Canis lupus familiaris: one gene and its partners. The protein of the gene in region 2 purifies or fractionates together with the protein of the main gene of each other region. This does not show direct contact. Links are inferred from orthologs where the notes say so. Each region holds a gene or a part of one and is shown on either strand. Other genes may lie near its edges.

The links. Proteins that work in one complex are often made in the same cells at the same time.
Region 1: the proteins of SNRPA1 (region 2) and SF3B4 purify together in Homo sapiens (affinity purification with mass spectrometry; 3 studies listed by BioGRID and IntAct, counting the BioPlex papers as one, with this or other methods). This does not show direct contact. The link is inferred for Canis lupus familiaris from reciprocal best matches to the Homo sapiens genes SNRPA1 and SF3B4.
Region 3: the proteins of SNRPA1 (region 2) and SF3B1 purify together in Homo sapiens (affinity purification with mass spectrometry; 8 studies listed by BioGRID and IntAct, counting the BioPlex papers as one, with this or other methods). This does not show direct contact. The link is inferred for Canis lupus familiaris from reciprocal best matches to the Homo sapiens genes SNRPA1 and SF3B1.

Annotation. Positions count from the first base shown.
Region 1 is NC_049238.1:59,867,874-59,871,906, reverse strand, and holds the start of SF3B4 (splicing factor 3B subunit 4), read left to right. Parts: upstream 1-1,233; 5' UTR 1,234-1,356; coding exon 1,357-1,390; intron 1,391-1,837; coding exon 1,838-1,966; intron 1,967-2,234; coding exon 2,235-2,777; intron 2,778-3,100; coding exon 3,101-3,307; intron 3,308-4,033. Other genes in the region: MTMR11 (myotubularin-related protein 11), read left to right, coding at 1-31. UniProt on the Homo sapiens protein: Component of the 17S U2 SnRNP complex of the spliceosome, a large ribonucleoprotein complex that removes introns from transcribed pre-mRNAs.
Region 2 is NC_049224.1:40,147,674-40,151,173, reverse strand, and holds part of SNRPA1 (U2 small nuclear ribonucleoprotein A'), read right to left. Parts: intron 2,274-3,500; coding exon 2,227-2,273; intron 1,978-2,226; coding exon 1,875-1,977; intron 1,242-1,874; coding exon 1,162-1,241; intron 744-1,161; coding exon 668-743; intron 1-667. UniProt on the Homo sapiens protein: Involved in pre-mRNA splicing as component of the spliceosome. Associated with sn-RNP U2, where it contributes to the binding of stem loop IV of U2 snRNA.
Region 3 is NC_049258.1:6,839,143-6,843,376, forward strand, and holds the start of SF3B1 (splicing factor 3B subunit 1), read right to left. Parts: upstream 2,801-4,234; 5' UTR 2,670-2,800; coding exon 2,642-2,669; intron 1-2,641. UniProt on the Homo sapiens protein: Component of the 17S U2 SnRNP complex of the spliceosome, a large ribonucleoprotein complex that removes introns from transcribed pre-mRNAs.

The DNA.
Region 1 (4,033 bases), on a different chromosome or scaffold from region 2:
TCCAAATACCATTCTTTCCCAGTCCCGTTGAAATTGTTGTCTTTTTTATGGGCATGGCAGAGGGGGTCCGGGGTGAGGGAAGGTTCTGTCTAATCCTCCAATTTTTCTTATCTTGGTCTTGCTGTCTCAGCTTTTGACACTCCAGCCCTCAACAAGCTCACTGACCTTTCTGTTGCAGATGGGTGGTGCTAACCTTCTCCAACTCTTGCCCTGTCCTGTTTCATTCTCGAGATATGTTTCTCATGATTTGAGGAATTAAGAAACAAAAGCAATCCAGAATACGATTACCTTTGTTCTTTTCAGGGCAATTCCATCCCTCTGGATACCCAGCCGATAAGCTGTGAGATGAGAGATGCTGTTCATCAGTTCAAAGGAGATGGCCTACAGAACTCATTCTCACCTCCTCTTGCTGCTTAATTCCAATTTCTGTTTCTTCCCTCTGGTTTTCTATGGGTATGCTAGTGGGTATGGGACACATCCTGTCTCTCCCAATTGTATATTTTGTAGTGACATTTCTATTTAACGAGTTCATTAAAGTACAGTTGCTGGCATTATCTCTGGTGTCTGAATAAAAGATCCTAAGTAAAAAAGCGATGATAAACCGGGAGAAGAAGGGACCCACCATATTATTGTTCAGGAAATATGGAGATAGGTCAGGCTGTCCACACTAATCGTTTCGTAAGATGGGGCAAAGAGCATGCAAAGACATGGTTGGTGGGCCCGGGGTATTCTGGCGGTTGAAACTGAGGCCCCTGGGCTGCAATGTCAGGTACCCTCAGCTCTGGGCACACATCATCTCTGAGCCTCAGGTTTCCATCTCCCCCATGCAACAGGATCATGTGAGCTCCGACGCCACTCCAGCTCAGACACTCCGCAATCCTCTCCCCAGAAGCCGCGGGCCACGGTGGAGGGCTGCCTCCGCACCCTAAGGCAGCCGAATCCTTGGGTTGGAGGGTTTCCTCAGCACACCCTTCTCCGGGGAACAAAAGGATAGTTTGCCAACAAAATATTTCTAAATAAAGTTTTGTTCTTTTAGCTTTTGAGTTTACATTTTTAGGAGTACTGTGATCCTTTAACGTCCAGCACTGCCTTAAGAGGGTCTGGGCATTTCCGTTCGGCCCTCATCGCTTTGACCGCTAGCAGCGGCAAATCCGCGCAGAACCACGGACCGGAGAACGCGGCCCCACAAGCCGCATCAAGTCTCCGCAACTCCTAAGATGGCCGGGGCCTCTTCCGGCTCCTCCCCCATCAGGCCCCGCCCACCGCCCTCGTGACTACCTTCGCCCCGGAAGTGGAAGTACTGACTGAGGTCAGAGGGCGGGATCGCTGCCTGGAGACGGCGGGAGCTCTTTCGCCATGGCGGCCGGCCCGATCTCCGAGCGGAACCAGGGTAGTTGGAGGGGATGAGGCCAGGGAGGCTGGGAGGCCTCGAGGAAGGCCAGCCGTGTTTTCGCCGGGGCAGGAGATCGGATCCCCCCGGAGGGCGCGAACCCGGCCCCCGTGCCGGCTGGGGGTGGGGTGGCCGGGTGCAGGCTGAGGCCTGTGGTTGTGATGCTCTGTCCAATCTCCTGCGCCTTCCCATTCAAAAAAACAAAACAAAACAAAAACCCAAACGAAAACCAAAAACAAAGCAATTCACAGAGAATTTGCAGCAGAACCTTCAGTTAGACTTAAGAAGGTTCTTTAGTTCTGGAATGAGAGAGATGTAAGGGCTTACTCTCACGTCTTTTTCCTTTTTTGTTCCTATATCCCATCTCCACTCCCAGTTCCCCCGCCTGTCACTTCCTTCTTTCCCGTCGTTGTCTCATCCCTGCCATAATCTGCTCATTTCTCTTAGATGCCACTGTCTACGTCGGGGGACTGGATGAGAAGGTTAGCGAACCCCTGCTGTGGGAGCTTTTTCTCCAGGCAGGGCCAGTAGTCAACACCCACATGCCAAAGGATAGAGTCACAGGTCAGCACCAAGGTGAGTACATCACAAGAGGCGTGTTTATGCATTGAGGGGACAAGCTGCTCCTGGAGGGTTCCGGCAGTATTCATAGGCAGTATTCATAGCCGTTTTGGAATCACCTGTAGATTCTTCCTTTTAAGTGTCATTCAATGTTTGCTTCTGGAACCATTCCCAGTTGAAGTGAGGTGGTTATTTCATGTTCTTTGTGCTTTGGAAGGTGCATGAGTTACACACGAAATTGAATCACTTCACTTAAGTTAATCTCTGCTTTTCTACTTCCCAGGCTATGGCTTTGTGGAATTCCTGAGTGAGGAAGATGCTGACTATGCCATTAAGATCATGAACATGATCAAACTATATGGGAAGCCAATACGAGTGAACAAGGCATCGGCTCACAACAAGAACCTGGACGTGGGGGCCAACATTTTCATTGGCAATCTGGACCCAGAAATTGATGAGAAGCTGCTTTATGATACTTTCAGCGCCTTCGGGGTCATCTTACAAACCCCTAAGATTATGCGGGACCCTGATACAGGCAACTCCAAAGGTTATGCCTTTATTAATTTTGCTTCATTTGACGCTTCGGATGCAGCTATTGAGGCCATGAATGGGCAGTATCTCTGTAATCGCCCCATTACTGTGTCCTATGCCTTCAAGAAGGACTCGAAAGGGGAGCGCCACGGCTCAGCAGCTGAACGACTTCTAGCAGCCCAGAACCCACTCTCCCAGGCTGACCGCCCTCATCAGCTGTTTGCAGATGCACCCCCTCCGCCTTCAGCCCCCAATCCTGTCGTATCATCATTGGGGTCTGGGCTCCCGCCACCAGGTAAAGCTTTTATTCAAAGTATTTTTGTCTTGGGCTTGGGGTGTGGTGGTGAGCGGGGGCAAGGGGAGGAGAAAAGAACTTGATAAAGGGGGACATGGAGTCAGTAGGTGATGAGAAAGAGAGTGAGGGGTGACAGTTGTGGGGAGAAAGTTGTTGAGTTGAAGAGGCTGAAGTTGTTCCTAGTTATCTAGTATTGCTTCTGATTTTAGAGAGCTGGGAGGAAGGGAAGAGAACTTATCCTGCCTGAGGAGGCCAGATTGAACGGGCTTTCTAAAGACATTCTCTCCTTACTATCGTTAACTTGTCTTTCATTTCCTCTATAGGCATGCCTCCTCCTGGGTCCTTCCCACCCCCGGTGCCGCCTCCTGGAGCCCTTCCACCCGGGATACCCCCAGCCATGCCCCCGCCACCTATGCCTCCCGGTGCTGGAGGACACGGTCCACCATCAGCAGGAACCCCAGGGGCTGGACATCCTGGACATGGACACTCGCATCCTCACCCATTCCCACCAAGTGGGATGCCCCATCCAGGTGAGTGTTCTTTGCTGGGGAAAAGGATAGATAAGCTTGTTGGAGGAGCTCCACTGCCACATGCAGTGCTGCCCTCATCCCTCAGCAGTAATAGTAGATAGTCCCGGAGCTCTGCTTTTTTTTCAGACATTCTTTTATAAAAACAAACACGAGACACTGTTCTCTGTTTACTTTAACAGCTACCACCCTGTCTCCATTTATTATACAAGTTTTTCCAAAGAGTGTAACTGTACTCGTTTGCTTTTTCCTTTAACTTTTACTTCATTTTTCTCCTCCGACTTCTACCCCAAAGCAGTGACCTAATTGCCAAATAGAGGGGGCACTTCCATTCTTTACCTGGTTTGCCATTTGGTGTACTTGAAACTGGGTGTGTTGTCCTTTTTGAAAAGCTTGCCTCTTGGTGTTTCTGGATTTTTCATCTGTCTCAGACTCCTTAAAGTTAGCCACATTAGGGATCCCTGGGTGGCGCAGCGGTTTGGCGCCTGTCTTTGGCCCAGGGCGCGATCCTGGAGACCCGGGATCGAATCCCACATCGGGCTCCCGGTGCATGGAGCCTGCTTCTCCCTCTGCCTGTGTCTCTGCCTCTCTCTCTCTGTGTGACTATCGTAAATTAAAAAAAAAAAAAAAAAAAAAGTTAGCCACATTAGTAGGCTTTTCTCCCTCTCCATGTAGCTGGGTTTTTGTATCTGGTTCTCTTTTCTTTTTTTTTTTTTAATTTTTATTTAT
Region 2 (3,500 bases):
ACAATGGACATGACCAGTTTATTGCATCTAAGTGTCAATCACACAGAAAACCCTACAGAAGTCCACGGCAACTCTGTGAGGTGGACTATTATACAGTTGTGCTGGGGTAAGAATTTTATCGTCATGTTGAAATCAAACCAAATCATAAATTCCCCAAATTGGTAGATGGATGTGGACCCTCTTACAAGAGAGAAAATAATCATTGCACATGTCCTAACAATTTAGTGAATTAAAGCACCTTTTTGGAACTATGTTACTGGATAATCTAGGAAGCAGTATTATGAAATTAGGATTTCCCATGATTAACTAACAGATCTTTCAGACAGCAAATCTTTGAAAAGCTAAGGCAAACACTGAGACAACATGCTAAGGTAATTTAACTATTTAAAAAAAAAAAAATAGATCCTGGGAAAATGACAAAGAACCAGAGCTGCCTCTGCTTTGACTGGCTCATGTAAATAATTCAAGTCAAAATCAGGTAGTAACTTTAAGCTAGTTCCTTCCTTACACGGAACATAGCAGGAACCTAACTCTTGTGGGGTTGTGGGGTGGGGTGGGGTGGGGTGGGGGAAGACACTACAATGTTTAGAATTTGGTCAATTACATATTTCATGTCCTAAAACCCACGGCAACTCTTTCCAGTCCAAGAGTCCTAACCCGTTATTACCTTGATTGCTTCTACATCCCCTGGAGATGGCCCACCTTTCTTTTTGTCAGTTGGCAAACCAGCACCTGGATTGAAACTTGGGAGGGGAAAGGAGAGGGAAGAATGCAACTGTTAAATCCAGACAAGGGAAACTGCTTCTCTTTTACTTTCAAAAAAAGCTTTTGAAAGTAATTCAACCAGTGTAGTATCTTATCTTTGTTAACAAACTGATACAAGAAACTCCCTCCTTCAGAAACACCACCCAGTTCATCTTCCTATAGAGAAGAAGCAGGAAGTATACAATGTCGCATTAAGACTGAACATGGAAGTATTTGCTAACCTGATGGAAATCTCATGTGATGTGTGGACCAGTGATGGTCACGGGGCTATCATCACACGAATTCAATACTGTGTTAGTCACAGGTGTTTTGTTTAATTCTGTAGGAGGGCAAAAAGCCAGACAGATAGTGTTTCTGAAGGTGAAGTGGAGTGAAGTTGGATTATCTGTATCTTACGTTTTGCTTCTCCTGGCAATATCCTTTGCAAGTTGTGCACCCCGTTTGCCCTTGAACATTTTCTCTGCTTCCTGACGCTCCTACAGCAACACCACACACAGAGTTAATGGAAATAGGAATACCACATGCATTTAAATGCATTCCTCAGAAAACATGGAAGGAAACTCTCCTGAAACACTCGGGGCTGGTAAAAATACCAAAAAGCCAATTTCAAATTAAAAGGAGACAAATGGCCTTGCCTTCTCTGGTGAAAGCTCCCTGAAGAAAGCTCCCCCTCCTAGTTTCGAGGAGGGGGTCTGGAGGAACTAAGAATGTTTAAAAAGAAAAAACAAAAAACACAAACCACACACAAACCAAAAACACACCTAGTAAAGAGAAAATCATTCTAACAATTACAGCTGCTGAAAAATGGATTATACTAAGGTCCCCACAGGGGAGTGGATCTAAACGATCTGTTGTTGATGGTGCTCATGGTTGCTCTGATATTGTACTACCTCTGAATGACCAACACTACCATGTAAGACAGCTTTAACTCAAAGTCCTGCTATATAAACTCTGCTATGAAAAATAAAGGACTTAACATTTTCCTTCCCACATTTTTATTACAAACCAATAGGAAAACTCATTAGGCAATTAAAAAAAAATCAGTAACAAAAGTATAAAATGAAACACACGAATCTACAATGACTTATAACCCACAGAACAATACTTACTTTTAGTTTCACTTTCTGGAAATCCAGTACTCTGACTTGCGGAACTTTATAAATTACATACAGTCTATAATGCTTCTTGTTTGTTACAGGATTTCTCAGAATACTACAAGAAAAGGAATAACATAATGCCAATCTTACTCACAGTGCAGCATTCAACAGGTCCATTTTAATGGAATCAGATGAGTCAATTTTGTCATGTTGCAGAGTTATTAAATTCACATTGGGGAGGTTTCACATTTTCAGTCCTTGTTTTTCAAAGGTCCTTCTTACTAACTGTTTGCTCTAAGATCAAGGCTGGTAATGGTGCTATTATAAAGGACTTAACTGTCACCACCACAGATCATTTCCATACCTTAGGTAAGTCAGTGATTTGAGAGATGCCAAAGGGTCTAGGTCACCCTGTAAAAGAAATGGCCAGAGGTAAGAATATGAATACCATAGGCTATTCTGATACTCTGATATGGCAGATGCCTTTGGAACAGGGACTCCTATCTTTTATTTCTTTAATGCCCTAGCACCTAGCACAATACTAGCACATCACCGATGCTTAGTAAATTACTGACTAAACTGTTAAGTAGATTTGAACTTCTTAAACTGAAAATCCTAGCCATAACAGCTTCTGTCTCAATATTAAGAGACCCCTCCCCCTCAAAAAAATTATATGTCCTGTAGCAAGCTCAAAAGGGCTAGACTTTAAAGGAATTATTTAGAAAAGAAATATATTAAAGTTTATGTGACTTCAGAGCAAATTATTCACACAAGGAACCTCAAACTGGATCTTGGGGTAAGGCGGTTTTTACCACTAGTACCTGGACATGCCTGGTGGTGACACAGGCATATCATCGTTGAGGCCTGGCACCTTTATTCAAGGTTCCCTCAAACTGCTTTAGATAATTATTCAAGGACAAAGAGTATAGGGGGAAGAAAAAGGACACAATTATGGGATAAAGGCAAGTTAGTTTTTGATTCTTTCCAAATTATCACATAAGATACAGCTCAACAAGGATAGCAAAACCAAAAGCCTATGGTCAACAACTACAATTAACCTAGACGAAAAGGCATTCTGGCAAGAATCCTAGCAGGTAGAGACAGACCATTGTGAGAGCTGCAAGACTGGCTTGGGAGCCAGCATTTGTACAGGAAGCAACAGCAGGACAGCAGAAAGGCTTGTGACAAATGTGAATACCCCAAAATGACCAAGAGTTCAGTCTGAGAACAGCAGCCAATAGCTATGTATCTTCCAATAAGGAGTACATTAAGTCCTGAAGCAACTGGGCAATTCTGGCCCTCATTCTTCGTACTAAACACAAATGGTATCCTTTCCAGGACAAAGCCCTACAGTGAGGATAGACTGGTAGGACCAGACTGAAATTGAGGACAAGGCAAAAGGAATAATGAGAGAAAAGTACAGGGGTACAGAGTAGGAGTTCAGAAAATAGTCTGCCATTTTTATTTTATTTTTTTTAAGATTTTGTTTATTCATTCATGAGAGAGAGAGAGAGAGAGAGAGAGAGAAAGAGGCGGAGACACAGGCAGAGGGAGAAGCAGGCTCCATGCAGGGAGCCCGATGCAGAATCTCCAGGATCATACCCTGGGCTGAAGGCAGCGCCAAACTACTGGGCCACC
Region 3 (4,234 bases), on a different chromosome or scaffold from region 2:
TTAAGCGGCCCCTTTCTGTGAAACTTTTAATATTTCCAATATAATCTCTCAATAAATGTTAATACTCAGTACTCATTAGGCATTAGGTACTGGGGATACCAAGAAATAGTTCCTGTACACATCAGTCTCAACGTGGATAAGAAAACCTTGGGCAGCCCGGGTGGCTCAGCAGTTTGGCGCCGCCTTCCACCCAGTGCGTGATCCTGGAGACCCGGGATGGAGTCCCACGTCAGGCTCCCTGCATGGAGCCTGCTTCTCCCTCTGCCTGTGTCTCTGCCTCTCTCTCTCTCTCTCATGAATAAATATTTTTTAAAAAACCTTAACACAATAGAATATTCTAGTATAATAAAGAGCTACAGTAGCACCTAGGTAAGTAAATAAATAAATAAATAAATAAATAAACCCACCAAGAAATCTGCTCCAGGCTATCAGAGATGACTTATTAAGGGAAAAGAGAAGAGATGCACCATGAACCATTCCAGATCTTTAGGAAAGTATCTCTATGTAAATATTATGCATATTTCCACTAAACATTGATCATCCTTTACCAAAAACTCACAGTGACAGACTGTCTTATACACAGTGCTGTTGTTAACTGAATACTGCTATACTTTCTTTATAGCATCAGTTAATTCATACTGTAGCAAGATTCCAAATAAAAAAGCAAACTTGGCCAATCAACTTCAATCTTCTATAGACCAAAGCTTTTAATTGAGTCTCAAAAAAGCAGGAAACCTGATCCAAACCTTGATTTCCCTGTCCAAAAGTATCTTTATGATTAAAAATATCAACAAACAAGTGATCAAAGCCACAAACTGCCCCCAATGAACAGCCTACTCCTGAATAAACAAGAGCAACATCTTCAGTTTCTAATTATTTTGCAAAAGGTTACATCCGGATTAGTCTAAAGACAGAAGAGTAAGTGCCTAAACAACCTTCAGGGCTAAAACAGTGTTTAAATCCTAAATACCGGGCAGCCCGGGTGGCTCGGCGGCTTGGTGCCTGCCTTTGGCCCTGGGCGTGATCCTGGGGTTCCGGGATCGAGTCCCGCATCAGGCTCCCTGTGGGGGAGCCTGCCTCTCCCTCTGCCTGTGTCTCTGCCTCTCTTTCTCTGTGTCTCTCATGAATAAATAAATAAAATAAAATATATATCTCATATAAAATAAAAAATATCTCATGAATAAATAAAAAAATATAAAAAATAATAATAAAATAAATAAATAAATCCTAAATACCTACCCCCACAACGAGAAGAGTATTAAAGTCACTGCCCATTAATTAGCATGTCGCAGAGAGCTGGACTTCAGTTCTGGCGGGGAACACAATTATTCCAGGGCATTCACATCCTGGTCCCAACCAACCTTTCCAGATTCGCCTACACTTTCCCTCCCTGCAGCGCCACAGTCCACTACTCAAACACACTTTTCAGGACTCCTTGCCTCGTTACAAGATGTCCTCTCAGGCTCAAATGTCCTCCCCTAATTTAAAACGGATTGATCCGTTTAGGCCAGGGACACGTCACCTCCTCTATGGAAGAGTCCTACCTAGGCAGGAATTAATCACTCCGTTACCCAGAATCCCAGAACATGCGGCCTGTATTTCTATTTAAGCGTTAATTTGCCTCATGAAAGAATGAAAACGTATACACACACACACACCTGTCTCCCCAGGAGCCTGTAAAACTTTGCACGGCCTTACTCTTTGTTACTTCGGACTCACACGGAGCCAGCACCTGGAAACGACCCGTGAAAATACAAATGACTCCTGGAAGCCTCCCGTTCGACGAACGCTTCAGATTCCAGGTCAGAAAAAAAAAAAAAAAATCCTAAGGAACGCGCCTCCCAATGCCCATGCCTCATCTTCTCTGAAGTGACCCTATTTCCTGTCATTTCTGGAAACTGGATACTCCCTCAAGAACTCCGGCTTATTCTCAGCATTTTCCTAAATTCCGTGTTCTCCGAATTCCACAAAACGATCAGGTACCTCGAAAGCTTTGACCGCTGGGAATAATAACGTGCCTTTCCCTCTTCCACCAATCATCAGTCTCCAAGGGGGGGGGGTGGGGAACAAACACCAATATACAAGTGATCACGGGAAGAAAAAACTACCAGATTTTATGTCCAAATCACTTCATACAAAAAAAAAAAAAAAAGTATTTTAGATGCCTGATTAGCCGAGACGAAGAGGAACGGGCCTCAAGCAGGCTACGCTCGAGTTGGCGCTGCCGAAAAGCGGCTGCCGTGTTCCCGGGCTCCCCCGACTCCCCCGGGCACGAACTGCGCCCGCCACAGTTCCGTGAGGCGAGGGCGACTCCCGGCTTTCACGCCCGTTTCCCCGATTCGCGGCCCTGGCCTCCCCCCCGGCGAGCCGTCTGAACGAGGCCTTCCGCTCGGAAAAGAGAAGCAACTCTGAAGGAACAGGACCCAAACGCGGAACAAAGCGCCTGCCCGCGGTGGAGGAGTAGGACGCCATTACGTGGGGCAGTGGCCTGCGCCGCTAGCGCCGAGGAGCCGACCAGGGCCCCCACGCGCGGGCGCGGCACCCCACCAACGAAACCACAGGCCGAGGCAAAAACCGAGTAAAATCGAGTCTTGGCAGGCTGGCAGCAGAGAAGACGCGGGAGCACGGGAAGACGCCTTACCTTCGTGGGTCTTGGCGATCTTCGCCATTTTGTCCACTCGAACACACAGACGGAACTGGCGCTCCCCAGCACTTCCGCTCGCCGCCGCTGCCACGGAGAAAAATAGCTGGGGAATGCTCTCTGCGCGTGCGCCAAGCGGGGGCGCGCGCCGCCGCGCGACACGTGACGGAGCAGCCGCCTAGAGGGAACAGAGCGATGCATTGTGGGGGAGGGGGAGGAGCCAGGGCCCGGCGCGGAGGCGGTTTTCGCGGTGGCGGGAGGAGGAGGGCTAAGCGAGTCCTGACGCGGGGGCGGGGGCGGGGGCGACGGCGACTGCTCTGGAGGGAAGTGGGTTGTGCGAGGACCCGCTGATAGTCACTGCGAGAGACGCTGGATTTCAGGCCCGTCCGAAGCCTCAGGCCGTCAGTTCTCGTCCTCCACGTCGAGCGGAGGTGTGTCGGTGCCAGGCGAGAGCTCCTGTGGCGTCTCTCAGCGGCTGCAGTGGGTAGTTGTGGAGACACACACCAGTCACGTCCTTCGCGCTGAAATTCAAGGTCATTTTTCTTTCTTCTTAAAGAATTACTTGCCATTTGGGTAGGAGTTTCGTGCACAACATTATTATTTCCAGACACTGTTGTACCTCACAAACAACCCAGGAAAGTGGGCGAGTTGTTGCTAATCCCATTTAAGAAAGGAGAGGAAAACTAGGGCGGGGGTGTAAATAAAATATGCAAGGTCACACCCTTACTGAATTACCCGGGAGGAACTGTGCCGTCCTTTTTTAAAGCCTTTTAATTTCATAGGTTCTTAGAAAACCACTGGCTGTCAGCATTAACACTGATGGAATGCCTTTCTTTTTTTTTTAATTTTTATTTATTTATTTATGATAGACACACAGTGAGAAAGAGAGAGAGGCAGAGACACAGGCAGAGGGAGAAGCAGGCTCCATGCAGGGAGCCCGACGTGGGATTCGATCCCGGGTCTCCAGGATCGCGCCCTGGGCCAAAGGCAGGCGCCAAACCGCTGCGCCACCGAGGGATCCCTGGAATGCCTCTCTTAATCCTAAATGTCACTCTTGAATCAGGAATTTTTAAAAGCTCCAAATATGGCTTTTCTTTTTTTTTTTTTGCCTACTCCTCAATTACAAAAGCATAATTTTGAACTGCCACACTGGCCTTGGACTTTAGGATTAAAAAAGAACATAACTTTGAGGGGAAGTTGGTACAGGAAGCAGCCTAAGGAAACAGGTAAGGATTAAGGTTAGAGCTATCACCAAAAACGTTTGCCTGGCTGTGTAACAGGATCACAACATGAGTATTTAGTAGAAACTTTAGTAACAAAAATGGGACTTAGTATCAATGAAAAAAATCAATTTGATGAGAGAAAATTTTCAATTTTCAATTGTTTTAATTTAGGTTAAACAATAGTTGAGGGAGGAAAGGGTTAAGAGAACATGTAGATTGTTTTTTTAAAAAAAGATTTTATTCATGAGAGATAGACACAGGCAGAGGGAGAAGTAGGCCCCCTGCAGGGAGTCTGACATGGGACTGGATCCCAGGGACCACAGGGGTCACGACCTGAGCTGAAGGCAGACACTCAACCCCTGAGCCATGC